Linked DNA regions of Ovis aries. The protein of the gene in region 5 interacts with the protein of the main gene of each other region in a pairwise test. Links are inferred from orthologs where the notes say so. Each region holds a gene or a part of one and is shown on either strand. Other genes may lie near its edges. The genes, in order: PRPS1, CTPS2, AKIRIN2, ARL6IP1, SPG21, EFHC2 and ATPAF2.

Region 1 (4,167 bases), on a different chromosome or scaffold from region 5:
GCAATGAAGCACTCAGTAAATATTTGATGAATGAATTGCGATGGAACACTACTAATATTCTGCCTGTAGTCTACTTCCTTCAAGTATTCCTAGACACCTGGGCTTATACTGAATTTCTGAACTCATAAAATCATAACAAAAGGTCAGAAGGAGCGGTCTCTGTGGGCACTGCTGAAAATGGCAGGAAGAGAAAGCTAGGGTGCTGCTTGAAATATTTTTTGCCTTTGCCACTTGGACAAATTTCTTTCCATCTCTGGTCTCCGTTTCAACCATATGTAAAATGAAGCTAGTAGACTAGATGATTTCTGAAGTCCCTTCTATTTTTACAGCTTGTAGTTATGAGCATTATGGCACTTCTAACTAAAATTGTATGATTCTAAAATTACATGATTTTTGTGTTCTAACTCATGGTTGGGATATGCTTAATGAAAATGTGGTGTGAGAATAAAGGCTCTTTTTGGTCTAATTAGCTGGTATCATCATAAAAGTAATAAAATAGTGGTGTAAAAGAACACATTAGCAACAGATAGAATATGATGCTGAGGATAACATCAGGCAGATAGGACCAAAGACTAGGTTTTCTGACTCCTTTGGGGCTATTTATCTGAAGTCCTATAAGTATACTGTACTTTCTTTCCTTTCCAAGGGTCAGATAAATCAGACCCTTTATCACCCAGATATTGTGGAAAATCCATACTCCAGCACCTGTTTGAACGTACTTGGTCCTAGTGTTAAAAACAAAATGTGACTTCTCTTGCAGTGTCTCTGGATGACTCAGGTAGCTTGCCCTCAGTCACTTTCCCCTTGGGACTTGTCTGTCAGGCAAAGGGGATAGTGAAATTACCGGTTTGCCCTTTGTATGAGCCTGTGCTATGGCGTCTGTCTGTGATGCAATCATGCTTTAAGTTCAGCCCCATCCTTACAAAAAGATAAAAATCATGTTCAGAAACATGCAAACTCATGTTTGTATGAACTGTGGCTGCCATCCTGAGAAATAGATATTTTTAAAAGAAACTGTAAAAAAGAAAAGAGAAAGGAACTGTAAACCAGAGCCAGGCTTACTTTCAGGTGCTGAAGGAAAAAAAAAAAAAAAGGTGGCTGATTTCCCGCTTGCGGGAAAGATCTGGCCCTACGCGTCACCAGCATCCCTCCACCCCCATTGGAACCCGGGCTTCTAGGCGTTCTGCCCTCCCCAACTGCCTCGCTACAGTGGGCGGGGCGATTCGTTAGCCTCGCCCCTTTCAGGGCCTCCAGTCAATCCTCGAGACAGTCGGGGATAGGCGGAACTACGGCGAGGACCCACTAGCGCTCAGCCAATCGGAGAGAGGGCTTCCCGGCTGACTACACCTACCCTGCGCCGGCGATTTAGAGCCGCGCACCGGGCGGGAATGTAAGATGGCGGAGTAGAAACGCGAGTGCTTAGTACTGAGTCTCTGGGCCCACTCGGTTCGGGTCTCGGCGGCGGCAGCAGTGATCGTTAAGCAAAGAGAGCCTAGGGTAGTTGGCCAAGATGCCGAACATCAAAATCTTCAGCGGCAGCTCCCACCAGGATCTATCCCAGAAGATTGCCGACCGCCTGGGCCTGGAACTGGGCAAGGTGGTGACTAAGAAATTCAGCAACCAGGAGACCTGGTGAGGATGAAGTTGGGACGCCGACCGGCCTCACCTGCCGGAGAGGCCAGGGCAGCCGAGGGTAGGGGGATGAGGTCACAGCGTGAGTTCCAAAGGGCCGGGTTTGGGGGGAAGGGGCAGCTCTGTGACGAGCGTGCCTCACGGGCTGTTTCCGTTATTTTACCTCTCGCGGGAGGGTCACGTTCATTCTCACTGTGTGGTGGGTGGAGTCAAGATGGAGCAGGAGGGGAAGCTACTGGGTTTGAAGCCAAGGGCGGGGATGGTGGCTTCCTAGAGTGGCTAGAGGGGAAGAACGCCTGGGCTTCGCGGTGGGGACACGTGGCTTTGCCGCTTAGCTGTTGAGCCATCCAGACTGGGTTCTCTTCCGCTGTTAGACCGGCTCGCCTGGGAGATCCTACTGCGTACTGAGCCCTCGTGGTGTTCCTCCTAGTGTCTGAGAAGCAGCTTTTCAATTTGAAACCGTGTTGGTCCGATTTCCTGTTGAGGGAACTTGACATTATGTGCAGAGGGCGCCAAAATTAATACCGAGGACTTCTTAGATTGGCGAGTGTTGAATTTTCACATCTTTAAACTCGAAGTTAAATCTAGTCGCTTGAATAAAATGATGCGTTAACTGCATCCCGATTGCCAGCATCTTGGTTTGAGCCATCTAAAAAATAATAGGGAACCTTAATTCTGGAATCCTTGATCTTCCCAAGCGTAGCTGTTTGTAAAACAGTGCAAAAGCATATTTTTCAGAACCAAAGTCTGTCCTGAACTTGCATTTCTAATGTTGTGTGGGGGATTTAAGAAACATTTTAATCCCTGAATGTTAAGATAATAGAAGAAAGATAATGGAGTGGAAGGCTGGAAATGCATAGTTCATTGCAGTGAATTTTTTGTCATTGCTTTGCTGATTAAATTTGCTCCCTCCCCCCCACTTCCATGCTCCTGAACCTTGGGGCCATCTTAGAGATAACTTGGTCACCAAATCCTTTCAGTACCACTTCCATCTAAATCTAGAATCTTCTGGTTCTGCTAAGTGTTTTTCTGTATTTTGTTGTTATCCTGTTGATCAAATCAGAGCAGTACCCACAGTCAGTCCTCTATTAAAGGGAAAATTTACACCAAACCTAATGAGTCAGTTAAATTAGTGAAGATTGCCTTGAACATTTTTTCCTAAGTGCTTTTGTTTTCCTTTTCTCTTCCCAAAGTGTAACTTCCCCTGTCCTTTGTAGACCCTGCTGGTAAAAGCATTCATCTGTAGTGGACAGCTTCCTTCTGGATGCTTGATCATTGTGTCATTGGTTGTGATGCAGATGATGGTGCAAGCCCTGATGCGGTCTGTAACCAGACAAAACCTTAGTCAGAAGGCTAGCCAAGCTGCTGTCTTTAGCTTAACCACACCATTATGACTCACGGGCTGTAATAAAATAGGACCAGACTTTGCAAGTGGCAGTATAGCTAGGGGACCAGAATGATTTTCATTTGGAGGTGGTTTTTTTTTGTTGTTGTTGTTGTTCCCTAGAGAACTGTGACTATTAAATCTTTTTTGTATGCTTCCAGGAAAAATACAAAGACTTTATTTTCCCTGTGCACCCTCTGCCTAGTGCACCACATCAGAACCTGAGGCTAAATTGGGAGAGGAGAGGAGAACATTTTAGTGGTCTACTGATTGATTTCTCTAAAATTATCTGGAGCCCCAATCTACTTCGCTGAGCTAAAAGGCTGATTTCATTTTTAAATAACCAGACAGTAACATGCTTGGAAGCACTGAATAAGATTAAGCCCAATGGAAAATTGCTGACTGGTTCGGTTGCTTTGTTTCTGGCTTAATTAGCTTTTTGGCTCCTTAGATGTTCTGAAATCTTCATTGAACATAATCGAATATGTTGCCTATGGAGCTTCCCCTTCATCTCCCTCCCCCAACCTTTGGCTTTTCTGCACTGCAGAAGTGGTCATTGCTGCCCTGACTCTGGGATCTAAAGGTCATGGACAGGATAGCACCTACCCACAGTGGGTGCTGGGGGTCATTAGATGGGGAACTGCAGAGCCCATCCTCAGATGAGACTGTTTTGCTGCAATTTGGCACAATCTCAGGGGTTGATGCTCTCTGGAGTAGTTTTCTCCTGAAGTCAGGATCATCCTTTGCTGTCCAGTTTTTTAAAATTCGTTAATTTTTGGTTGCACTGGGTCTTCCTTGCTGTGAGTGGGCTTTTTCTATTTGCAGCGAGTAGTAGTTGGCAGGGGAGTGGGGGGCGGGGCGCACTGCTCTTCATTGCTGTGAACAGACTTCTCATTACGGTGGCTTGTCTTGTTGTCAGAGAAGGGCTTCAGTAGTTGGGACACGTGGGCTCAGTAGTTGCAGCTCCCGGGCTCTAGAACATGGGCTCAGTAGTTGTGGCACATGGCCTTAGTTGCCTCGTGGTGTGTGGAATCTTCCCAGGAGGGATCAAACCCATGTCTCCTGCATTGGCAGGCAGATTCTTAACCACTGTGCCACCAGGGGGTTCCTGCTGTCCAGTTTTTAAGGAGAAACATACATACATATATGTG
Region 2 (4,208 bases), on a different chromosome or scaffold from region 5:
CACTTCTGGGCATACACACCGAGGAAACCAGAATGGAAAGAGACACATGTACCCCAATGTTCATCGCAGCACTGTTTATAATAGCCAGGACATGGAAACAACCTAGATGTCCATCAGCAGATGAATGGATAAGAAAGCTGTGGTACATATACACAATGGAGTATTACTCAGCCGTTAAAAGGAATTCATTTGAATCAGTTCTGATGAGATGGATGAAACTGGAGCCAATTATACAGAGTGAAGTAAGCCAGAAAGAAAAACACCAATACAGCATACTAACACATATATATGGAATTTAGAAAGATGGCAATGACGACCCTGTATGCAAGACAGGAAAAAAGACACAGCTGTGTAAAACGGACTTTTGGACTCAGAGGGAGAGGGAGAGGGTGGGATGATTTGGGAGAATGGCATTCTAACATGTATACTATCATGTAAGAATTGAATCGCCAGTCTATGTCTGACGCAGGGTGCAGCATGCTTGGGGCTGGTGCATGGGGATGACCCAGAGAGATGTTGTGGGGAGGGAGGTGGGAGGGGGTTCATGTTTGGGAATGCATGTAAGAATTAAAGATTTTAAAATTTAAAAAATAAAAAACCAAAAAAAAATAAAATAAAATATTAAAAAAAAAAAGGACAGAAGAAAATTTTCTTCCTCAAGGAGAATTACATGCTTGATGTGTTCCCAGATCCTGTGTGTATGGGGGTGAATATAAAATCAAGGTTCCTGCCCTCCTGGTTTTCACCTTTCCTGTGGGATGAAGGGGCAAATAATCGGCACTGTAACTACCTTATTCCAGCACTGTCACACTATTAAAATGACTTCTCATTTGTAAAAGTTAGCAACATGGAAAAATGCCATAAAAACAGAAGAGTATTCATGAGAAGGTACATTATGTGGTTGTCAGAAAGCCTAAGAATCTTTCATGTAAAATATGCTTATAAGCATTATATTATCTATTATATAAGACATTATATTATCTCAACTGCTTTTTAAAATTAAGACTGCTCAAGTCACACTAAAATGCTACATTTTAATATATTTAGGTGGTTGGGTTGCAGGTAAGTATGTATCAGTTTTCCACATTTTCAAACGCACAAGATAACTTTTTAAGCACATCAGATATTTTGCAAAGTTCTTTTTGAAAACGTAACTCAAAAATAGAAAATATAACTTAATATCAAGGAGACACCTAGTCCTTTCCATCTCTTTTAAGCAAACAAGTAAGTCTGAAGCAAAATTTAAAACAGTAGAAAAAGCAGATTCTTCACGCTGTTTCTAGAATCAGGACTTTTTTACTCTTGTGAATTACATTATTTACATTGACTCACAGGCAGTGAGCAGAACCAACTGTCTGTAAAATAGGGGTGTGTAGAGCTGTCCGCTATCCAATAAAACCATAACATTTGTGTAGTTTTAAATTTTCCAGTCGCCATATTAAAAAAGTAAAAAGAAACAGATTAACGTCATTTAAATAATATCTTATTTAACCCAATTTATCCAAAATACTATCATTCAACACATAATCAATATAAGAATATTTTGGTGAGATAATTTACATCCTTTTTTTGTTGTTGTTACTGTCTTTCGAAACTAGGTGTGTCTACTCAAAGCACATCTCAGTTCACACACTTGCCATATTTCCTGCTCTCAAGAGTCACATGCTGCGAGTGGCTACCACACTGGACAACGCAGGACTAGAATAACTGAAAAAAAATCAGAGGCAACAAGAGACACCTTCTCGATGACGGCCATTTAGAAAGCAGTCAAAAACAGAAGAATACTTACTTAATGAGCCCACTTTATGGAAATTCTAGAACCGGCAACACTAAGCTCTGATGAAAATCAAGGGGTGAGGGCAGTTGTGGATTGACCGGAGAAGAGCATGAGGGAACTTTCTGGAGTGATGGAAATGATCTAGGTCTACGTTTGGGTAGTGGTTACGCGGATGTATAATTTGTCAAAATCCCTTATCTGCACACTTAAAATGGGGGCATTTTATTGAATGCAAATTAGACACCATATGTGGAGAAACTGTTGCAGAAAGAAAGCTATGTTGTAGCAGCAGCGGACTCGGGCTCAGCGCGCCCTAACCAGCTAGGAACCGGGAAATGAGAGAGTCGCGGGGCGGAGGACGGGACAAAAAGGCCCACTCCCTCGGCGCTGGGCTGCACTTCCTCCAACGCCATCTCGGGGCTCCCGGGCCCGGGAGAAACAGGGCTGGGCACGCGGCGGGCCCCGGCGCCCGATTCCGAGGCCAGACGCGCGCGGAAGCGCCGCCTGGGGACACGGCGCTCCGGCGCCAGGGCCGCTGGCCGCCCCAGGGCGGGCTCCCAGGGCTCAGCCCCGCCCGGCCGCTGTGGGCCCGCGGGCAGAGCGCGCGGTGTGCAGGGACGCGCGCGGCGGCCGCCCCCGGAGGGGACAAAGGCGCTCGGCCCCACGTGCGCGCCGGGCCCGGGGCGCGGGCAGGCGGGCGGCCCCGGCGCGGAGGCCCCGGCGGGGGATTACCTGTGAGCCGGCGGCGGTGGCGCGGAGGACGGCCGCGCTCACCTGTCGGCTGAAGACGAGGCCGCCGCCAGGGGTGTCCCGAGCCTCCCTCAAGGTCCCTCCCGCCTCCCGCGCGGACCTCGGGGTGCGCGGCGCCCTCCTAGCCCACCTTCCCCTCTCCTGCCGCCGCGGGCCCCGCTGACTCACTCCGGTGAGCTTGGGGTTGGCACCCGGGTTTGTGCCACGCTCCGAAACAAGCGGCCCCAAAGTGAGTCCTCTGGCGCCGGCGGCTTCCCGTCACCCTCTGCCCTGGACGCACTCGGCCCCAGGCCTGGCTCAGCCCCGGGGACTGCCCCTCCCCTCCGCGGCTGGCGGAGCACCGGCACCTCGGGGCCGCGGGTGAACGCCACGTCCCAGCGCCCCGGCCCTCGGCACGCCCAGACCCTGCTCGGGCCCACGCGTCAGGCTCTCGACGCCGGAAAGGGCTTCTGGGTCGCGGAGAGGGGCTGCGGGAGCTCCAAACGGAGGGCGACGCTCAGACGGAGTGCGGCCCTGTGAGGGGCTCACGCTATGGGGAGAGGGCTACACCCCTATTGGAGTCAGTAAGGTTCCTGGCCAGGACGCGTGTAGCAAACATTAAAATTAAAAAATTAAAAATTCTAGGGGGTAGGGGGACGACAATCAGGGCTTCGCCGAGTGACTTTTTAAAGAAGATGGTTGGTGCCTCGGTGCCAGGAAAGGACACAGGAGGTTAAGGCGAAGGGAAGAACATGCACAAACCACTGAAGGAGAGAGGATCTAACTAGGGGGTTTGGAGTGAGATGGAAGGGCTGGGAAACTGGTGAAAATTTTGACTGGCCAGCCAGGTGAGTCACTAGAGGGCCCAGTGAGGTGAGCATCACTGAAGACCCAGTGGAGTCTGGAAACCATTACTGTACAATGAGCTCCACCTAGGTCGACATATAAATACTGATATTGTGATAAAACCGGAGTTTGCTGGTTGAGTGGAAGGATGAGAGTGAGGAAGTTAAGGGCACTGAAAGAATGTTACCCCGGTGACACACCAGGGGCCTAGTCCCCAGAAGAAAGGAAGGGAGAGGAGCAGGGAGCAGATAGACTGGAACTAAGAAGCGAGATGTTGACCCCCGGTGGTCCAGTGGTTAACACTCCGCGTTTTCAATGCAAGGGGCGGGGGTTGATTCCTGTTTGGGGAACTGAAATCCCACATGTACCACAGCACGGCCAAGAAAAAGAGAGATAGACCAAAAGATGAGGGCCTGTGGGGATGAAAGGACTGAGGAGTTGTCACCAGACTGTGGGTGTCAGCGATGTCAAAGGGGAAGAAATTCCAGGAGGTGATCCAGTTTAGAGTCTGACCCTGACATGGCGTCAAGTGAGATGGGTGTCACTGGAATTGGGCCTAGGGCTCACCAGGCCAGTGTGGGGGACATTGAGGACCCCCAGAAGGATGTCAACAATTGGAGGAGTCAATCGAGGCCAAGGAACCAAATCTTCAGTGAACGTGGAGGAGCAATGAGGAAGCTAGTAGATAACAGCAACAAGGAAGGTAGAGGGATGGTTGGCAAAATTCAATTTTTTTTCTTTTTTTAAGGAGGAAACACCTTATAAAAAGGCAGGAAGCACAGAGGACTTTGTTGTAAAACAAGTCTTCCAGAAGACCCAGCACAAAGGATGCATGTGAAACAGGTTCACATCGATG
Region 3 (4,278 bases), on a different chromosome or scaffold from region 5:
ACATGGCTGTGTTCCAATAAAACTTTAATTGCCAGTTCTTTTCTTTGTCCTATTAAGTCACAATAGTTTGAAAAATATTGATTTAAATAACAGTTATCAAGTCAAACCTTCCTGAGATGACTAACAACCAAAAGAAACAAAGCTAGAGTTTAAAAGATACCCAGTTCCTGAAGTGACAACATGACTTCAGCAACATATCAGAAAACACATATATAAATATATCCAGAGAACAAAAGTAAATTCATAATAAATTATACACATGCTCTGAAAAAAACTGCACTTCAGTAGTCTAGTTGTAAATTGTTTAAATTATATTTGAACCCACAGAAATGAAAACTCCATAAAGAACTTCCATAGAGCCCCAGTCAATTTCATTTTGGTAAGTTGCTTTCCATTTCCAACCCTAGCTACTTATTTCTGCTAAAGATATATGGTATTCATTCTAGACAAGTTTAAAGAATCACCACTTTTAAAACAGGAATTTAAAAGTTAGGTACTTGGAAAATTATTTCCAAGTTAGAGGACATGAAAACTGGGAAGCTGTTTGATACCTGCACAACACTGCAGCTCCCATTATGACACCATTACCAAAACCATACAAGAGCAAGCCCAAAACTGGCCGTGTTAACATAAGGCTAAATTACATGTAAAATGTCATTCCAAGACCACAGTTAAAAAGGTAAATTTTAGCAACTCAAAAGTTAATCAATTTTAACTGCTGTTCTCTAATTGAAATAGCTAGGGAAAAAAAACTTTTCAGAGACTCAATAAATATCAGTTAGTGTGTGACTTTAGAATTCAGGATATGATCAAAGTTACAGCAGATGCCAAAAACACCTTGAAAAACAGAAAACATACCAATATGTTGGAAAAATGTGAATTTGAATCAGCCGGCTTAAACAATTTCAATAATTCCAGTCATTTTACTATTATAATAGTAATGGTCCACTTAACCGAAATATAAAATGTGGAGTCACCTGCATTAGTGAATGCTTTAAATACATCAACGAAATGACAGATCTGCAAAGAATCACAATTCTTTCTGAATTAATTCCCTTTGAAGTGAGGACAAATATAGCCCCTAGCTGACTTACTTTATATGCTCAAGACTATTTTAGCACTTCAATATACTTTAACTCCCAAACCTAACACTGTATTAATTCACCCCCCTCAAATGAAATTTATTGCTGGTTAGCTAGAGCTATTTTTAAGTGGCCTTATTAAGTACAGATTCCACAGTATCATTTCAATTTTCAGTGATAGTCTTTCACTAAAAAGACAAACTCTGAAAATAGTATTAATCCCAGGAACTCATTCTTGACACTGTTCCAACAGCAAAAGATGGTAGCCTAGGCATCTGAGAATCTCCCTATGTATTTGGAAAAAGATATTTTAAAAGTATGACCTGAAAAATTACAAAACTTATGTCAATTCCAAATCAAGTTACCAGTAGAGTTAAATACTGCCCACAGATTTTCTTTTTAAAGCTGACGATAAAAAAGTAAATCAAGCTACGAAAAGGCTTTGTCTACAGATCTTATTATCACCAAACGGTCACACATGAAACCTTTGCATGCTACACACACAAGGGAAGCATTTACACTACTAGTCCACATAAGCCTATCTTAAGACTATGCCAGGGGCACACAAGGATTTTCAAAGTATAGGAAAAAACGGACACAAACGCAGTACAAAGCAGTCAAGAGGTAGCTGCCCAGTCACTTTCAGGAAATGTTTCAAGATGAACAGCAAAAATATTCTGAAGTCCCTTGGAATCTTGGGTTGATTTATTATTTTCAAGGCCTAGCCCTTTCCTTCCAAAGTACTTTCATGGGCAAAAATAAAGCACTTTTAACTAAAGCAACTACTCAGCCCCGAAGTTCAATACAACTTGCTTTTCATTAAAAGTTCAAGTTTCTCAAGGTCTAGACATATATAGTGTGATCGTATTACAGTATTCGGGAAGAGCATTTTCTTTGTTGTTGACCCTGCTAGGGAAACAGGTCTTGACTCAGCCAAAGTGGCGTTCTTGTGGGTGATTAATGACAGGCCTAGATCTCGCCCCAGTGACATCCCTCCCCCACCCCACGCCCTCCGTACTAAAATCAGCCCTGTCTGAACTGGAAGAGGGGCGGCCGCCTAGCCTCAAACCACCCAGTTCCAGAGTTAATAGGTGCAACCCATCGATTCTGGGAGACAGCCATCGAGATTCGGGTGAAATGTGTGACCCTTCGTTTGCCTCGATTTCCGTGTAGCACTCTCTCTGATCATTTCCGCTGGGGCTCTCCAGACTACGGAAACGCTCGATTCCAGTCATTCGGCCCAAAGAAAAAGACCTTCCTCTACCCTACAATACCCGGCAAGGCACCATCCCTACCCACCCCACCCCCGACCCCTCCCCCGATATCAGGCTATTCCTATTGTGTCTCCGACACTGAAAGAGCTCCTTAAGAAAAATGTGGCCGCCGAGGACTCTGCTAAGACCGGAGAGCCGTCCTGCACCCCTAGTCCCGCGGCCTCATCCCTCGCCCTCCACCCCCGGGCGGCCGCAAGACCGAGTCCCACCTGTGGTGAGACGGGAGGAGACGTCGCCGAAGGGAGATGGCTCCATTCGGAGATACTTCTGCGGCGAGGCGGCGGCGGCCGAGAAGGAAGCGGCGGTGGCCGCGGCGGCCGACGACGGGGTGGCGGCGGCAGAGGTGGGCGCCGACAATGGCGCACATCGCCTCCGCTTCGGGGACGCCGGGCTCAGCAGCGGGTCGAAATCCAGAGTCCGTTTCAGAGTGGCTCCGCACGCCATGGCCGGGGCGCCGGGCTCGGGTGGAGTCAGGAAGGGAGGGCGAAGGAAGCGGGTAAAAGCGGAGCCCCGAAGAGAGCCTAACCGACGGGCTCAAGAGTGGAAAGCCGGGTGGCGGAGCGCCGGCGAGGGGAGCAGAGCCGCTGCCGCCGCCTCCGCGGCAGGGGCAGTGGCCCGGGCCGGCTGGGGCGAGAGCAGGAGGGGCGGTGGCGGCGGCTCACGCTGGCCGCGTCAGGGGGGCTCTTCCGCCTCCTCAGGCACGGCTCCCCCGGGAGACGCTCCGGCCGCCCCCGCCGTCCGTTCGGGCTTTGCGCCGCGCCTGAGGCGCTCCTGCGCGGAGACCGGCTCCTTCAGAAGTCAATACCAGCCCCGTGAGATGTGAGGCTAGAACGCGGCTCCTAAGACGCTCGAACAGCGGCCGAAGTTAGAGAGCGGTGGTCGATGCGGCGAGATTGAGAGGCTGCGGCAGCGGCAGGAGCTCCAGCAAACACATCCAGCCGCTTCCCCCTCCACTGTCTGACTTCCACCCGCCGCCGGCCCCAATATGGCGTCAATAACAACGCCGCCGATTCAAATCCTGCGGCCTCAGGGCGCGTGCGCATAGCGGGGGGCGGGAGCCCGAGCATACATTCTGGGAGTTGTAGTTTATCACTGGAGGAAGGACTCTGCGTGAAAAGCGGTTAAGGAGAAGTCATGAAAACTACGAGTCCCGTCATTCAAGGCCAGCGATTCCGAGTTCCGGATTGGAATTTAAATCCCCCTACACATCTTGAGTGTAAAAGGAACTGAGGGTAAGAGAAAAGAGAAAAACCCGTTAGAGAGTGGGAGAAAAGAAAGCCGACCGGTGGGGAAAGCAGGTTTTGAAAAACCTTTAATATTCAGGTAGTAGTTGTCGTGGTACGCTCCCACAGTGATTTACCAACCGGGAACTTGAAAACGAAGCTAACCTAACAGTTCAAGACTGATTAAAACAGTGCCAGAAACAAAACCTGTCACATCGACTGGCTAGGAAATACTAAGATTTTGGGGACCTATTTAGAATTGCAGGAGAGAACAGTGGTACTATCAGGTTATAGGAACCTTGAATTGAACTTTATGTGTTGCCCTTTCCAGATAGCTGCTTTTAGCCACTTATTCGGCAAAGCCAGCTGTACCCTGTAAATGACTAGGATTTGAACGACGTACAGAACTAAATTGTTCTGCTTTGAATAAAAAGCTAATAGCAGAAGTTGTACTATCTCAATATTGGTGTATATCTTGTGAACGGTAAAAATTAAATCGAAAGACAATGGAAGTCTAGAGAGTAGATATTAGACCCATTTTGTAAGCAGAGAAAAAAATTTTTTATGAAAGTTCTACTAGTTTTGTATTGGACTGGTGATAGCTTCCATATGTAAAGGCCAAAGGATAGTTTTTCACGCTTTACCGGCTGAGCCACCAATTTGGGACGCACCATACTTCTAACCAGGTACCTAAAATGC
Region 4 (4,224 bases), on a different chromosome or scaffold from region 5:
AAAACTATGTTTACTGTTTTGAATTATTCCTAAGTTACTTATGAAATTAGTATTACCTTAAATATCAATGGTAAAAAATGTAAAGCAGACATACTATGGAAAGCTCATTATGAGTTCTGCAATCACTGAAAAATCATTACCAAAAAAAGCCTCACTTCAATAAAAAGGTCTAGAAAGAAAAAAGTCAAAATAAATGCTAGAGTATAAAAGAACTATGGAGATATAAGTACTGGAAATTCACGATTTATATGTGAATCAGCTAAAAAGTTCTTTACATCAAACAGTAAGTCTAATCCCTAGCTGTTAATTAAGGCAGCTCTCTGTGTGTGATTATAGCACCCTAGTCACAGTTATCAGGTTCGCAACTTCTCAGAAATTTGAATGCCACATCATTATGCCACCTACCATTTATTGGAGCCAAAAATTCTAGGTGCTAGAATGGGAACAAGGTAGTCAGCCAAGCACAAAAACATAACAAAACAGGAAACACCAGATAGAACAGATGGATCTAGATAGTAGATAGTCCTGTTTAAAAAAAAAAAGTAACAAAGGTTAGAAAAATATGGTCTTTATCAGTGCTAGCTGAAGACGTTTATTCAGTTAGTCCTCTGGTTCTCAAAAGATGTTATCTGCCCTTCCTATTCTCATTTTCTCACAAGTGGTTTTCCAGAAGTTTTGTGACATGATGACATCCCAGCCATAACGGTTAACGTAAACATCAAGAGGCAAAAGCCCTTTGGGGTCCTCAACACCTTCTAGGAGTGTAAACAGTCCTAAGTTTGAACCACAGATTTATTTCACTGCACCGGTTACTGACTTTACATAGTACTATGGATTCTGAAAACCAGGCAGGCGGCTCTAAGGCAAGGCATTTTTTTACAGATTTTAAAATTACAAGACTTCAGGCACTTCCATAAATGAAACCTGAACCATTATTAGTAACAAGCATAAATCTATTGTAATTTAATAGCTCACTTACAGAAACACCAAAGAAACCACACCCATAATGGCAGGTGGAAACCAGGCTCTTTCCCATCGGAGGATTTTATCTGCCATCAGCATCACTTCTCCCCATCCTTGCAGCTGCTCTTCCAGACTTGCAGTCTCTGCAGCCTACATATGAGCAACGTTTAAAGCAATCATTTTACTAATCTCAACATTTCTGTGACTCCTAGAGATACCAAAGTCAGAAACCAATGGGGGGAAAATTATCATGTAACGGTCACTTTCCAAGCCCAAGCACTGGGGTTATGTAACATAATCCTTATAAGACCCCTTAAGATAGGGATAATCAGACCCATTTACAATTAAAGTGAGTTCAGAATGGTTATTTTCCCAAAACCATGCACTGCTAACTGTAGGCTTCCCTGGTGGCTCAGACGGTTAATCATCTGTCTACAATGCGGGAGACCTGGGTTCGATCCCTGGGTCGGGAAGATTCTCTGAAGAAGGAAATGGCAACCCATTCCAGCACTCTTGCCTAGAAAATCCCATGGATGCAGTAGCTTGGTGCAGGCTACTCCGTCCATGGGATCGCAAACAGTCGGACACGACTGAGCGACTTCACTTCACTATGCACTGCTAAGTGGCACTGCTCCAAGTATAAAATAAGATCACTTGAAGTTTGCTCATTTCAGGTTGTTACAATCGATCTGTTCTTTGGTCATTTCATTGATTTAACCCCCTACTCCTGAATACATGAGGAAAGCCTCTCCCTGAACAGCATTCATTTCCAAAATAGCTCTTGGTGTACTAGAATCATCTGTATATTGGCATCACTTGCACAAGTAAGGAAAACTACTGTGCTTTCTTCGAATTATAAGACTTATTAAGCCCAATATATCTCAATAAAATGCTCCTTACACTTATCAGGATGCTTTGGTTAGATGTCAAATTTCTCTGCAAATCTGACAATCAGCTGCAAGCAGACTTCTCAGATGAGCTAAGCAGACTTCTCAGATGAGCTAATGTGGCAAAAAACCTTTAAGTTGATTTTGTTTTTTGTTGTTGTTTGGTTGGTTTTTTTCGTTGCATGTAAGCTAAGTTTCGGAGACAGCAATGGCACCCCATTCGGGCTGAGGTTATAATTGTCTGCCTTTGATACAAGCTCACTGCAGTTCCCTTCGACCCCTGCTTACTCTAAAATCGTCCTGTGACACCCCCTCCCAGTCTTAGAAGTTCCAGACAAACGCCAGGAACCTCCCATTGTCCTTCCAGCTGGATCCCACCTCCATTTTCCAGCCGTGAGCTCGAAGCCTCCCTGCCGTTTTAAGCCGTGCCAGGCTCTAACAGAAACGCTCGGGAAGAGCCCTTTGACCCTCCACTCCTGCCCAAGCATTAGGGTAAAGGGCGAAGGGACATTCTGGTTAAGATCAAGGAAGGGGAGACACAGATACGGCTGGAGTCTGGGCCCCAAAAGCGCTCGACAGGCCCCTCGCGGCTCTCTGCCACTGACTGCAACCCAGACTGGTCACAGCCCCCTTCTCCAGCTTCCTCCTCTATTCGCAGTGAATGATCACGCGCCCTCCTCGCTCCATCGCGCACCTTCCCCAAGGGGGTGTTAGGAGACGCCACGACTAGTCACTGTCAAGCAGAGGTTAACCAAGAAGCCAAAAGGGCAAGCGTCATCGCCTACACCAGGGAAGGGAGCGGAGGGCCGGGCCCGCCGCGGGTGATAAGAACAAGGCCGCAGCTCAGTCCCACGGAGCACACCAAAGTCCGGAGGCTCCACTCGGTCCTCTGGCGACTAGTCGCTGGGACTCACCAGCAGATTGGTGCTGCGATTATCTCCTTCCGCCATAGTTCTCGAGGTGTGCCGTCTCAGCGAGCACAGGACGAAACCACAACAAATCCTCCACAGACTCCCTCGCCGCACCCCTAGCGCGAGGATACGCCCCGCAGCCCTCTTATATAGGCCGGCTGCCTTTCCCGACAGACCCTGCGAAGCTCGTTCCTCATTGGACAAATCGAGATCAAGCTTGAACAGGTCGGACCAACCGCTGCCCAGCGCATGACTTGAAACCGAGGTCAAAGGAGAGAAACCTCGCCAGTGCCCCGGGGGCGGGGCCATGGGATGGCCAATCAGCGCCCAGTAGGTGACAACGCCCCGCCCAGGCCTCTCCTAAGCGGTTCAACGGCCGCTCCCGGGGGCCTGGCCTGGCTTCAGTATTCCTAAGGCGGGCCGCCAGGTGGCTCTCGGACGATCTTCCAGTGGACTTCAAAGCAGCTAAGCATGCTCTCTGGAATTGAGTCCTTAAGGAAATATGCCACGCAGTATCAGGCGGAGGGCAGAGATGGGCATGTGACAGTAACCTCCTTAAGGGGGCGGGCTGGGATCTTCTCCCAGATCCAGCGGGTGGCCCTGGGCCTGGCTGTTCCCCGAGTTGGACCCACATTTCTTCTAATCCCTGCTCTGGCAGCCCTCGTCAGGCTGCTGAGCAGTTTAGCCTAGATTTGTGACTTGGAGACTCGTGCCCATCTCATGAGCTTTGTGGACAAGGGAAAAGGGCATAAATTCTAGGTTTTCTGTAATTTTCCTCCCCTACTCATTAGGAATAAGGTCTTAGATGGACGGGCGGGGGGCGGCAGAGGGGGTGTGGACATCTGGGCAGAGTTTGAGAGCTTGTGAAAAATGCACTTTATAAAACTGGTTCATTTTCGTGGGTTCTTTGGGAAAGTTCTTAATAGAACACCTCACTTGAAACCGCATGTTCCCCCTCCAAAAAGGGGCTGGTTTTGACAGATCCTTTCATATAAGGAAAGATGTAAACCATCTTGAGTGGAATTCATTGCAATTTAAGAACTAGATGATCAATGTGAGACACATTTTCTCTCCAGGATTTCAAAATGCATTAACGTTTTCATTACTCAACACAAAATAATGCCAAATGTTGACCTTTCAGATATCTCTTTCAGAAAAACATGCCATAGCTTTCAACTTCCAGTCTTTTATCCTTTTGCAGTCATCTATATTATGCCATCGTTTATTTTAAAAACGTTCCTTAAATAACTACCAGGTTCATAAAAAGTTCAGGGAAGGCATAAAGAAATGTGAGCCAACACAGCTACAGACCACATGCTGCCCCTAAGAAAACTAGGGGGACAGAAGCATTGTGAATATCATTAAAAGTTATGAAATTTGCCATTGAACTTTGAAAAAAATTAAGCATCTGATCAGGTATAAACCCCGTGGGACGGAGCAGGGTAGGGGGCTTTGTAAGGGAA
Region 5 (3,500 bases):
AATTAGAACATTCATTAGAATGTTCTAATGAAATCAGAATATCCTCTAACCATACACAAAAATAAACTCAAAATAGATTAAAGACCTAAATGAAGACTGGATAGCATAAAACTCTTCAAGGAAAACATAGGCAGAACACTCTTTGATATAAATTACAGCAATATCATTTTGGATCCACCACCTACAGTAACGAAAACAAAAATAAACAAATGGGACCTTAAAAGCTTTTGCAGAGCAAAGGAACAATAAACATAATGAAAAGACAACCCACAGAATGGAAAAAAATATTTGCAAACGAAACAACTGACAAGGGATTAATCTCCAAAATATACAAAACAGCTCATGCAGCTCAACAGCAAAAAAACAAAAATAAAAAAATGGACAGAAGATCTAAATAGACAGCTCTCCAAAGACATACAGAAGGCCCAAAAGCACATGGAAAGATTCTCAACACTGCTAATTATTAAAGAAATACAAATCAAAACTACCATGAGGTATAACCTCACATCAGTCAGAATGGCAATAATCAAAAAGTCTACAAACAGTAAATGCTGGAGAGGGTGTGGAGAGAAGGGAACCATCCTACACTATTGATGGGAATGTAAATTGGTAAAATCATTATAGAGAATCGTATGGAGGTTCCTTAAAAAACTAAAAATAGAACTACTATTTGAATCAGCAATCTCACTCCTAGGCATATATCTGGAGAAAATCATAATTCAAAAAGATACATGCACCCCAATGTTCAATGCAGCACTATTTACAATAGCCAAGACATGGAAGCAACCTAAATACCCATTAACAGAGGAACGGATAAAGAAGATGTGCTACATGTATACAATAAAATATTACTGAGCCATAAAAAAGAATGAAAGAATGCCATCTGCAGCATCATGGACCTAGAGACTGTCATAGTAAGTGAAGTAAGTCACGAAGAGAAAGATAAATATCGTACGACATTACTTATATGTGGAATTTCTTTAAATGATATAAATGAAGTTATTTACAAAACAGAAACAGACTCACAGACTTCAAAAACACACATCATTACCAAAGGGGAAAGGTTGGGGGAAGGACAAATTAGAAGTTTGGGATTAACATATATAGATATATAGTAGTGTTACTACATATAAAATAGATGTATTATAGCACAGGAAACTCTACTCAATGTTCTGCAATAACCTATATGGGAAAAGATTCTGAAAAAGAATGGATATATGTATATGTATAACTGAATCACTTTGCTGTACACCTGAAACTAAGACAACATTGTAAATCAACTGTACTCTAAAATAAAAATTTTAAATTAAAAAAAATTTGTGTTCTAGTTGTATACAACTTAATATACACACAAACAATTGAGTATGAGTAAAACTGGAAATGTGAACAAGGTTGGTGGATTATATTAACATCAATATTGGCTGTGATATTCTACTACAGTTTTATAAAATGTTACTATTGGGAAAAACTGGGCAAAGTATATAAGGGGTATCTCTCTATTACTTCTTACAACTGCATGGGAATCTAGAATTATTTCAATAAAAATGTAAATGAAAAAAGGATCCATGCATTTTTAACTGCAAGATACTAACAGATGTCTAGTAAAATTTCAGAAATCTCCTGGCACTTTGATCAAATATTAAGGATGAAGTGATTTTGAAGACATTGCTGTCTTTTTACTTGATTCTTTATCTAGCTAAGAAATAGGGAATGCCCACATCAGGAAGCTTGAGGGCAAGAAGAAATATCCAGGCAAAAGGCAAGGCTGTGTGCCCTGTCAGTTTATTTTTTTTTTTTTTTTTTTTTTATTTTTTATTTTTTAAATTTTAAAATCTTTAATTCTTACATGCATTCGGAAGAAAAAACATGCTGACTGCTTTGAAGAACGCTCAAAAGTGAGACAGACAGCTGGGGGGCTGCTCAGTCTCCCTCTCCCTGGCCAACCAACAGTGATCACCTAGACACAAAATGTCACCACTTCAGCTGCAAAGGACGAGGATGAGGGCGGCTACCAGCCTCCTCTCCTAAAATGCTGTCCACAGAGAGGGATTACTGAAAACCCAGAACAAGGGAGGATTACGTGGCAGGGCTTCCAACACACCATATGAGGAATGGTTAAAGAATCTGGAGAGATTTAGCTGGAGAAGACAAGACCTGGGGGGGAAAGTCAGCAGGCAGCCAAAAGTAACTAGTTTTTTCAAGAAAGAGCAGGGCTATCAGGAGGGAGAGGTGCTGCATTTGTCTTGTGTGACCCCAGTTGGTGGTAGCCCCAGTGGAATTTGCAGTTTCCTTCTGAGAGAAGAGCCTGGGTCCACGTTTTCTCTCCTCTAGGCAGTAAATAAAATGTATACCAACAGCAGTACTCCCATGGGGAGTACCATTTACGTGTTAATATTCTAGGTCCCAGAAAACAACCGCCAGCTCCAAAGCCAGGGCCTCTGCTTCGGGGAAGTTAGGAAACCGAAGTCCACAGTCCTGACCTAGTCAAGGCGTGCCAAACACTCTATGGTGAGCAACGGCGCCTTCCCACCTACGCCCTCCTCCCAGAGAGGGGGATTAAAGAATGATCAATGCAAAACTAGATTTAGACCAAACTCAGTGGTAACAATTAGAAACAAAAAACTTGTTGACCAAACGTGAAGAATATGAGCTAATGAATGAACCTCACCTCACCTGTCAAAGACTCACCTTTAGCAAGGTTTCAGTACCCTTTGCTGCTTCCAAGCAATGATGGCCTCACCTCACCTGTCAAAGACTCACCTTTAGCAAGGTTTCAGTACCCTTTGCTGCTTCCAAGCAATGATGGAATAAAAGGAGGGAGGAAATGGGGTCAGATTCACCCTCTGCTGCCTACTGGCTGTGTGACCCTCAGCCATCTCTAAAATGTCCAGACCTCAGCCTCCTCATCTATAAACAAGAACAATGCTTCCTACCAGTCAGACTGATTCAGGAAATGCATGTCCAAGCTGAGGGTAGGGAAAGCTTCGATAAAGGTTTGTCTCCTCTGCACCTCCGTTTGTTTTCAAACCACACCACCTTCCTTCAAAAAAACTCCCTTTCACATTTTAAAAATGAAAAACAGTATTTCACAATAAGAAACATGCCCATTACTATACTCAGAAACAGAAACACACACACAAAATCAGAAAATGTGGCCCTGCATTGTTATCCTAAATCAGTAATACTTACAGCTATAACCCGGTAACCCCATCCAGTCAAAGCCAAAATCTGCCGGAAAAATACATCCGCAGTTCCACTGACGGGAGGGAGAAATATGAGAGGACACCTGATATTTCTGGGGCCTGCATCGTAGAGCGACCAGATCTTACTATCATCATCATCCACAATAATCTGGAGGGAAAGTTATAAGAGGAAAATGAAAAATCTCATGGATTTGATTTTACATATCAATAGTTATTTCAACACCATAATTTCGCTGACAATTTTAATACCACTGTCTTGGTGGTTTACACACTAAGGTGGGGATCACACCAGACCAG
Region 6 (3,500 bases), on a different chromosome or scaffold from region 5:
GGCCTGCCCTCAAGAGAGACCACGCAGAGAGGAGTCCTGTTAGCAAACAGTCCCCTGCTGCTGCACCTTCAGGTCACTGGAGTGCTGCAGCTTTCAGAGATTCACCCAGAGGCCACAGTCTCCCCAGATTCTTCCCATCCAGTGATGGAGCAGGATGGAGGCACCAGAGCTGGGCCATTACTGCCTGACATGGGATTTCTCTGGTCCGTAGTGTGTGCTCTGGGGCTCCCTGTGAGACTGGCTCCAATGTGTCTGAGGTTCTTCTCATCCCCATCCTCCCTCCTTCCCTCTCTATTCTCAGGAGTCAGACCTACATCTCAGTCTCCCCACTATTCCTGCTCCCTCCTTTATCCTTCATACAGATTTCCCTCAATACATCTCTTGCACATATCATTCTGCCTTAGGATCTGCTTCTCAGAGGACCAAAACTGATCCAGGTAATATGTTGTACACAGAGACTGATATTAGCAACATCTCCATGAGTACTTGACATGAAATGAAATGGAATTGGCACTGAATCTATATAATTGGCACAGAAGTATTATTATTTACAGGCAGACATTGAAAATAGTTTATAGATAGATTCTTCAATAGTAGGCCATGGTTCTGAAATACACATGCTGGCACATGGAATTCAGTTCAGTTCAGTTGCTCAGTCATGTCCAACTCTTTGGGACCCCATGAATCACAGCACACAAGGCCTCCCTGTCCATCACTATCTCCCGGAGTTCACTTAAACTCATGTCCATCGATTCGGTGATGCCATCCAGCTATCTCATCCTCGGTCGTCCCCTTTTCCTCCTGCCCTCAATCCCTCCCAGCATCAGAGTCTTTTCCAATGAGTCAACTCTTCACACGAGGTGGCCAAAGTACTGGACTTTCAGCTTTAGCATCATTCCTTCCAAAGAACAGCCAGGGCTGATCTCCTCTAGAATGGACTGGTTGGATCTCCTTGCAGTCCAAGGGACTCTCAAGAGTCTTCTCCAACACCACAGTTCAAAAGCATCAATTCTTCGGTGCTCAGCTTTCTTCACAGTCCAACTCTCACATCCATACATGACCACTGAAAAAACCATAGCCTTGACTAGACAGACCTTTGTTGGCAAAGTAATGTCTCATCTTTTCAGTATGCTATCTGAGGTTTGTGACATTGTACAGCAGACAGGAATCAAGACCATCCCCATGGAAAAGAAATGCAAAAAAGCAAAATGGCTGTCTGGAGAGGCCTTACAAATACCTGTGAAAAGAAGAGAAGTGAAAAGCAAAGGAGAAAAGGAAAGATATAAGCATCTGAATGCAGAGTTCCAAAGAATAGCAAGGAGAGATAAGAAAGCCTTCCTCAGTGATCAATGCAAAGAAACAGAGGAAAACAACAGAATGGAAAAGACTAGAGATCTCTACAGACACCAAGGGAACATTTCATGCAAAGATGGGCTCAAAAAAGGACAGAAATGGTAGGGACCTAACAGAAGCAGAAGATATTAAGAAGAGGTGGCAGGAATACACAGAAGAACTGTACAAAAAAGACCTTCATGACCCAGATAATCATGATGGTATGATCACTGACCTAGAGCCAGACATCCTGGAATGTGAAGTCAAGTGGGCCTTAGAAAGCATCACTATGAGCAAAGCTAGTGGAGGTGATGGAATTTCAGTGGAGCTATTTCAAATCCTGAAAGATGATGCTGTGAAAGTGCTGCACTCAATATGCCAGCAAATTTAGAAAACTCAGCAGTGGCCACAGGACTGGAAAAGGTCAGTTTGCCAATCCCAAAGAAAGGCAATGCCAAAGAATGCTCAAACTACTGCACAATTGTACTCATCTCACACGCTAGTAAAGTAATGCTCAAAATTCTCCAAGCCAGGCTTCAGCAATACGTGAACCGTGAACTTCCAGATGTTCAAGCTGGTTTTAGAAAAGGCAGAGGAACCAGAGATCAAATTGCCAACATTTACTGGATCATCGGAAAAGCAAGAGAATTCCAGAAAATATCTATTTCTGCTTTATTGACTATGCCAAAGCCTTTGCCTGTGTGGATCACAATAAACTGTGAAAAATTCTGAGAGAGATGGGAATACCAGACCACCTGACCTGCCTCTTGAGAAACCTATATGCAGGTCAGGAAGCAACAATTAGAACAACAGACTGGTTCCAAATAGGAAAAGGAGTACGTCAAGGCTGTATATTGTCACCCTGCTTATTTAACTTCTATGCAGAGTACATCATGAGAAATGCTGGACTGGAAGAAGCACAAGCTGGAATCAAGATTGCTGGGAGAAATATCTATAACCTCAGATATGCAGATGACATCACCCTTATGACAGAAAGTGAAGAGGAACTAAAAAGCCTCTTGATGCAAGTGAAAGAGGAGAGTGAAAAAGTTGGCTTAAAGCTCAACATTCAGAAAATGAAAATCATGGCATCTGGTCCCATCACTTCATGGGAAATAGATGGGGAAACAGTGGAAATAGTGTCAGACTTTATTTTTGGGGGCTCCAAAATCACTGCAGATGGTGATTGCAGCCATGAAATTAAAAGACACTTTCTCCTTGGAAGGAAAGTTATGACCAACCTAGATAGCATACTGAAAAGCAGAGACATGGAACTCATCCACACTTAAAGTCAAGGTTTTGTGAACATATTTTCAGTGAACAGCATTGTCATAATAGTACTTTCAGTAATAGCACCCATGTGCCATCTCATTTCAAATGGAAAAACTTGTGGAGCTCACTGTTGCCAATTTGTCCTTGGAGTCTCATTTAGGCCTCAGGTGGCCCCTGTTATGGGAAGTTGCAACCCCAGCAACTATCGGGTTCCCTTGGGGTTTCTGTTTGTTCAGGTCTTGGCCTTCTTTGCAGGCCTGTGCCAATTAACTGAGACAGCACAGTGTGTGGCACCAGGTTTTCTTCCTTTCAGACCACTGCTCAATTTCTTTCTGAAAACATTTTCAGCATCAGCAGAAAACCCAGGAAACTTGATTCAACCCTGGGCCTGCCTCCTGCCTGTGCCTGGCATCCGTGATGCTGGGCAGCAGCAAACCCAGCACATAAACAGAGGAGACCAGGCCCTGGCCTCTGTGATGGGACCTGCGGCCAAATCATGCAGATCCATTATTCATGCCCACATGTGTGAATACACAATGTAAAATTGGTTGCAAGGCAAAGAAGAAAAGGCCTGGAGTAAGGAAAACACAGACTGCAGAGTGCTGAGAGGCGAAGGCAAGAATTATACCAAGTGAGTTCACCTTATCTGAATGCCTCTCCATGTAGTTCAAGGTATACTCATCAGCATTGACCAAAAGAAAGAGGTAGCCATTCACGTCCACTTTGGCTCCAACATACAGCTCCTCAGCCTTGATATATTCTGAGAATTCACTTTTAAAGACTTCTTGTCCAGGCTTCTTAACACGAACTCTTTTTAAGAACATCCCTCCAGTATACCCTGTAGAAAAGGAGAAAAGAAGTTAATGAGTAGGTTTTGTTTCTCAAAGAACCAGACA
Region 7 (4,288 bases), on a different chromosome or scaffold from region 5:
TACCGTTTGATCCAGCAAGTCTGCTCTTGCGTGTGTGCTAAATTGCTTTAGTTGTGTCCAACTCTTTGTGACCCTATGGACTGCAGTCCACCAGGCTTTTCTGTCCATGGAATTCTCTAGCCAAGAATACTGGAGTGGGTTGCCATTCCCTTCTCCAAGGGCTCTTCCTGACCCACGAATCAAAGCCGGGTCTCCTGCCTTGCAGGTGTATTCTTTAACCCTGAGCCACTGGGGACGTCCTATTTATTTTTAGGTACCTCCTATGAGAAACGAAAACACATTCTCACACAAAAACCTGTATTCAAGTGTTTACAAAGGCATTCAGAACAGTCAAATGATGAAAACCACCCAAATGTTCATCAATGACTGACTGGGTAAATAAGACATGGTGTGTCCCCAAAACTGAATATTACCAGTTATGAAAAAGAATGAAGTACTGACATGCGCTAACTCTAGGACAAACCTTGTGAAAGTGAAAGTGAAGGTGCTCAGTCGTGTCCGACTCTTTGCAACCCCGTAGACTGTAGCCTACCAGGCTCCTCCGTCCATGGGATTTTCCAGGCAAGAGTACTGGAGTGGGTTGCCATTTCCTTCTCCAGAGGATCTTCCGGACCCAGAGATCGAACCAGGGTCTCCTGCATTGTAGGCAGATGCTTTACCGTCTGAGCCACCAGGGAAGCCAGGACGAACCTTGGATATACGCTAAATGGAGAAAAAGACCACATTCCATTTATATGAAATGTCCAAAATAGGGAAATCTATAGATACAGATCTCTGGTGGCTCACAGGTTAAAGCATCTGCCTGCAATGCGGGAGACCCCGGTTCAATCCCTGGGTCAGGAAGACCCCCTGGAGAAGGAAATGGCAACCCACTCCAGTACTCTTGCCTGGAGAATCCCATGGAGGGAGGAGCCTGGTAGGCGACCGTCCACAGGGTCGCAAAGAGTCGGACACGGCTGAGCGACTTGACTTCATAGAGAGTGAAGTAGTGGTTGTCTAGGGCTGGAGGGATGGGGTGGGGCAGGGGGATACTCAGAGTGGCAGCTAATGGGTACAGGGATCCTTTGGTGTCATAAGAAGGTTCCAGAACTGATGGCAGCAGAACTCTGAGTATACTGTGCTTAGTCGCTCAGTATGTCCGACTCTGCAACCCCATGGACTGTAACCCGCCAGGCTCCTCTGTCCACAGGGATTCTCCAGGCAAGAATACTGGAGTGGGTAGCCATGCCCTTCCTCCAGGGGATCTTCCCAACCCAGGGATTGAACCCAGGTCTCCCGCAACAAGGGTGGATTCTTTACCATCTGAGCCATTAGGGACCATTAAACTGTACAATCTAAGTGAGTGAATTCTAAATGCATCATCTCAGTAAGGCTGTTTTAAAATTCTTCAGGGCAAGTGTATCTACCACAGCAATTACTATAAACGGGCCAGATGACTAAACACTTTTCCCCAAAACCGCTCTAGCATCCACAGCACTGCTGGCAAACTTTTTCTGTAAAAAGCCAAAGTGTTTTAAGCTTTGCAGGCCATCCAGTGTCTGGCACAACCAGCCAACTCTGCACTGTAGTGAAAACAGCCTTAGGTGTGTGTCAGTGAATGAGCGGGCCTGGGTTCCTGGAAAACTATTTACAAAAACAGGTGGCAGGCTGGCCTCCCTATCTACAGCATCTCCCTCAATCCAGCACAAGCTGTCTCTTTAGAGGAGGCAGACAATGAGACGCTAAACCACTTGTGCAGACAAGACAACTTGTAAGCAGAGACCCCCAGCTTTGACTTCACCGGTGTACTCCTCAGCTGGACAGGCAGGCTCTCTGAAGACCTTTCTTCTCTATGCAGCTGATGGCTGGGACAGCTGGTAGGGGACTGGAGGCCACACGGGCGACCTCGGAACAGCTCCAACACCGCAGTGACCTTCTCCTCACCCCCACCTTCAGCACAGTACTAACTGGCAGGAAAGAAAGCGTTACTGTCTTCACTCACTTAAAGTCAGTCCCACTCTTATCCCAAAATCTTTGCCTAGGAGTAAGAAAGATCCGCTACAGAAAGCCTCATCCGAGTCGGAAGTGCAGGAAGGGGGCACGGGGTGTCAACTCCTTAGAAGAGGTGGCAGGTGTTCTGGGAGGGCAGCAGGAGGCAGGGCCAGGACAGCTGTGGAGCAAGCGGCCGGGATGGAAGACTTAAAGCCCGAGCTTCAGGCCCCTTCAGTGCCGGTCGCGGGGACACAGAAAGCAGCCTAGCAGACTGGCCTTTGCCCCGCAAACCTCTGAGTCTGCTTCGCGCCTCTAGCGCAATCCCGACCCAGAAGTCGAATTTCCCCGCCTGAAAATAAGGATGACCTCTGCTTCCCCAGTGAAAGAGAGAAAAACCGCACCTGCCAAAAGGAAACGACGCGCGTGTGCCCTGGAGCGATCCCTGCCCTCGCGGGGAACTTCCCTCCCACCGTGTGACCCTGCATGGCCGACCCCTCAGCCTGCTCCGCCCTGGCCTCTCTCACCTGCCGGGGGCACGTAGGCCCGGAAGGGGATAGGGGGCTTTCGCCCCAGCCCCTCGGAGGCGGTGAGGCCACTTCGGGGCCGGTTCAGGAGGCGACGCCCCCCATCCCGCAGCCGAAGGCAGCTCCTCCACATCGCGCGGGGGCCTCAGAGAACGACCGCTCGAAACCAGAGCTCGGGGAAAAGGAGCGGAGGGACCACACGCCGTGTGCTCGAACTCCACAAACCTCCTCACCAGTCGCCGGCACCCTCTCCCTTTTGGGGCGCCGCCATGTTGCGCACGACACTCGTAGCGCGCCGCCGCCGCGCGCCTCAGCGCACGCCGCAGCCAATCAGCATCACAAACGCCCCGGCCCCGCCCCCGCGCCGCGCCTCGGGAAAAAGACTACAAGTACCAGAGGGCCTCGGCTCCCGCCACGTGCTTTCCCCGCCCGCCAATGGGCGGAATCGCCGAGCCAGCCTGATCCCGCCCCTCAGCGCGCCCGAGCCAATCGGAAGGGGTGTGTGTGCGAGCGCAGGCGGGGAGGGGGTTCGCTCAGGACCCGGAGGCCCTGCTCGCAGGTCCCGGGGTCCCGGTGGTGGCCGGAGCGCTCGATCTGCTTGCGGCCGGCGGGTGGACCCCTCCCGCCCTACGCGCGCGCCGGCTTCTCCTCCGTCTGCCCTCGGCTTCCGCGCGGCGGCGGCGGTTCCTCCCCCTCCCCCAGCCCTGGCTCCGGGGGACCCCGCGATGCCGGTCCGCACCGAGTGTCCCCCGCCGGCCGGTGCCTCGGCCGCCTCCGCCGCCTCGCTCATCCCGCCGCCGCCTATCAACACGCAGCAGCCCGGCGTGGCCACCAGCCTGCTCTACAGCGGCTCCAAGTTCCGCGGCCACCAGAAGAGCAAGGGGAACTCGTACGACGTGGAGGTAGTGCTGCAGGTGAGCCGGCGGCCCGGCCTCTCGAGACGTCCACGGACCGGGCCACGCCGCCGCCCCCTGGGGCCCGCGGCCACGGACGGGCCTGCTGCCCGGGCCTGCCGGGGGCCCTCCGGCGCACCCCAACCCTGCGGGCCCGAGCCGGGGACCGGCCGCCTCAGATCCGGCCCTGCCTCCCCGTGGCCTGTCGCCCCGGCAACAGTCTTTCTTTCAGTCCCTCTCGGACCCCGTCCGGGAAACTCTCCAGGGATTCCCTCTGACTCTGGACGCTCCCAGGCCCTAGACGTGCCTGCTGCCTCCCACGTTTTCCTCGGTCCCATGAACCCCAGGCCCTGGGACCCGCCTCCTTCTCCGGGGGTTTCCTCCCCGGCAGAGCTTCATCCGCCTCCTCTCTCCATCAGCCCCGGGACCTGAGGGCCCCCATCCCACCTGGACTGCTGGCCCATTCCTTAGCCTGGGCACTCACATCCTAAGTGGGCTCCTCACAGTCTGTTAGAAGCTGATCTCCTAGCCCCCAACCCATAGTCTCTTCCTGGCTCAGACTCTTGACACTCCCTACTCCCCACCCTCTTTCCACTTCCAGTCCACTCCTGTTCTGTCCATCTGTCTGCCCAGACCTCCCCATCTCTCTGTTCTCCTCCTTCCTGGCTCTAGGGGACCCTCTTACTGTATTTTTAACTTTGATCCACATGTCAGGGCTTCCTTTGTAGTCTCTGATACTCATGCTAGGAAATGTAACTCACCCACTTTTATTTCTCATATGGTATTTCCTCCCCCCATCTGACCTGGATTTCTGAGAACCTGCTGCCAGCTCCTAATGGCTTTGGAACTTTAGCTTTACCTGTCCCAGCTCCTTCCTGCACTTCACTCCTCTCATGTCGA

The links.
Region 1: the proteins of SPG21 (region 5) and PRPS1 interact in binary tests that used the Homo sapiens proteins (3 or more experiments, as listed by UniProt). The two-hybrid records come from large-scale screens. The link is inferred for Ovis aries from reciprocal best matches to the Homo sapiens genes SPG21 and PRPS1.
Region 2: the proteins of SPG21 (region 5) and CTPS2 interact in binary tests that used the Homo sapiens proteins (3 or more experiments, as listed by UniProt). The two-hybrid records come from large-scale screens. The link is inferred for Ovis aries from reciprocal best matches to the Homo sapiens genes SPG21 and CTPS2.
Region 3: the proteins of SPG21 (region 5) and AKIRIN2 interact in binary tests that used the Homo sapiens proteins (3 or more experiments, as listed by UniProt). The two-hybrid records come from large-scale screens. The link is inferred for Ovis aries from reciprocal best matches to the Homo sapiens genes SPG21 and AKIRIN2.
Region 4: the proteins of SPG21 (region 5) and ARL6IP1 interact in binary tests that used the Homo sapiens proteins (3 or more experiments, as listed by UniProt). The two-hybrid records come from large-scale screens. The link is inferred for Ovis aries from reciprocal best matches to the Homo sapiens genes SPG21 and ARL6IP1.
Region 6: the proteins of SPG21 (region 5) and EFHC2 interact in binary tests that used the Homo sapiens proteins (3 or more experiments, as listed by UniProt). The two-hybrid records come from large-scale screens. The link is inferred for Ovis aries from reciprocal best matches to the Homo sapiens genes SPG21 and EFHC2.
Region 7: the proteins of SPG21 (region 5) and ATPAF2 interact in binary tests that used the Homo sapiens proteins (3 or more experiments, as listed by UniProt). The two-hybrid records come from large-scale screens. The link is inferred for Ovis aries from reciprocal best matches to the Homo sapiens genes SPG21 and ATPAF2.

What each region holds. Positions count from the first base shown.
Region 1 is NC_056080.1:127,648,269-127,652,435, reverse strand, and holds the start of PRPS1 (ribose-phosphate pyrophosphokinase 1), read left to right. Parts: upstream 1-1,367; 5' UTR 1,368-1,510; coding exon 1,511-1,632; intron 1,633-4,167. UniProt on the Homo sapiens protein: Catalyzes the synthesis of phosphoribosylpyrophosphate (PRPP) that is essential for nucleotide synthesis.
Region 2 is NC_056080.1:14,941,640-14,945,847, forward strand, and holds the start of CTPS2 (CTP synthase 2), read right to left. Parts: upstream 2,801-4,208; 5' UTR 2,658-2,800; intron 2,601-2,657; exon of another isoform or gene 2,510-2,600; intron 2,130-2,509; exon of another isoform or gene 1,790-2,129; intron 1-1,789. UniProt on the Homo sapiens protein: Catalyzes the ATP-dependent amination of UTP to CTP with either L-glutamine or ammonia as the source of nitrogen. Constitutes the rate-limiting enzyme in the synthesis of cytosine nucleotides.
Region 3 is NC_056061.1:49,618,153-49,622,430, reverse strand, and holds the start of AKIRIN2 (akirin-2), read right to left. Parts: upstream 2,801-4,278; coding exon 2,566-2,800; intron 1-2,565. UniProt on the Homo sapiens protein: Molecular adapter that acts as a bridge between a variety of multiprotein complexes, and which is involved in embryonic development, immunity, myogenesis and brain development.
Region 4 is NC_056077.1:16,929,073-16,933,296, forward strand, and holds the start of ARL6IP1 (ADP-ribosylation factor-like protein 6-interacting protein 1), read right to left. Parts: upstream 2,801-4,224; coding exon 2,765-2,800; intron 1,114-2,764; coding exon 980-1,113; intron 526-979; coding exon 406-525; intron 1-405. UniProt on the Homo sapiens protein: Positively regulates SLC1A1/EAAC1-mediated glutamate transport by increasing its affinity for glutamate in a PKC activity-dependent manner.
Region 5 is NC_056060.1:11,894,484-11,897,983, forward strand, and holds part of SPG21 (maspardin), read right to left. Parts: intron 3,352-3,500; coding exon 3,190-3,351; intron 1-3,189. UniProt on the Homo sapiens protein: May play a role as a negative regulatory factor in CD4-dependent T-cell activation.
Region 6 is NC_056080.1:43,387,197-43,390,696, forward strand, and holds part of EFHC2 (EF-hand domain-containing family member C2), read right to left. Parts: intron 3,443-3,500; coding exon 3,246-3,442; intron 1-3,245. UniProt on the Homo sapiens protein: Microtubule inner protein (MIP) part of the dynein-decorated doublet microtubules (DMTs) in cilia axoneme, which is required for motile cilia beating.
Region 7 is NC_056064.1:34,270,459-34,274,746, reverse strand, and holds the start of ATPAF2 (ATP synthase mitochondrial F1 complex assembly factor 2), read right to left. Parts: upstream 2,801-4,288; 5' UTR 2,629-2,800; coding exon 2,496-2,628; intron 1-2,495. Other genes in the region: GID4 (glucose-induced degradation protein 4 homolog), read left to right, coding at 3,221-3,409. UniProt on the Homo sapiens protein: Plays a role in the assembly of the F1 component of the mitochondrial ATP synthase (ATPase).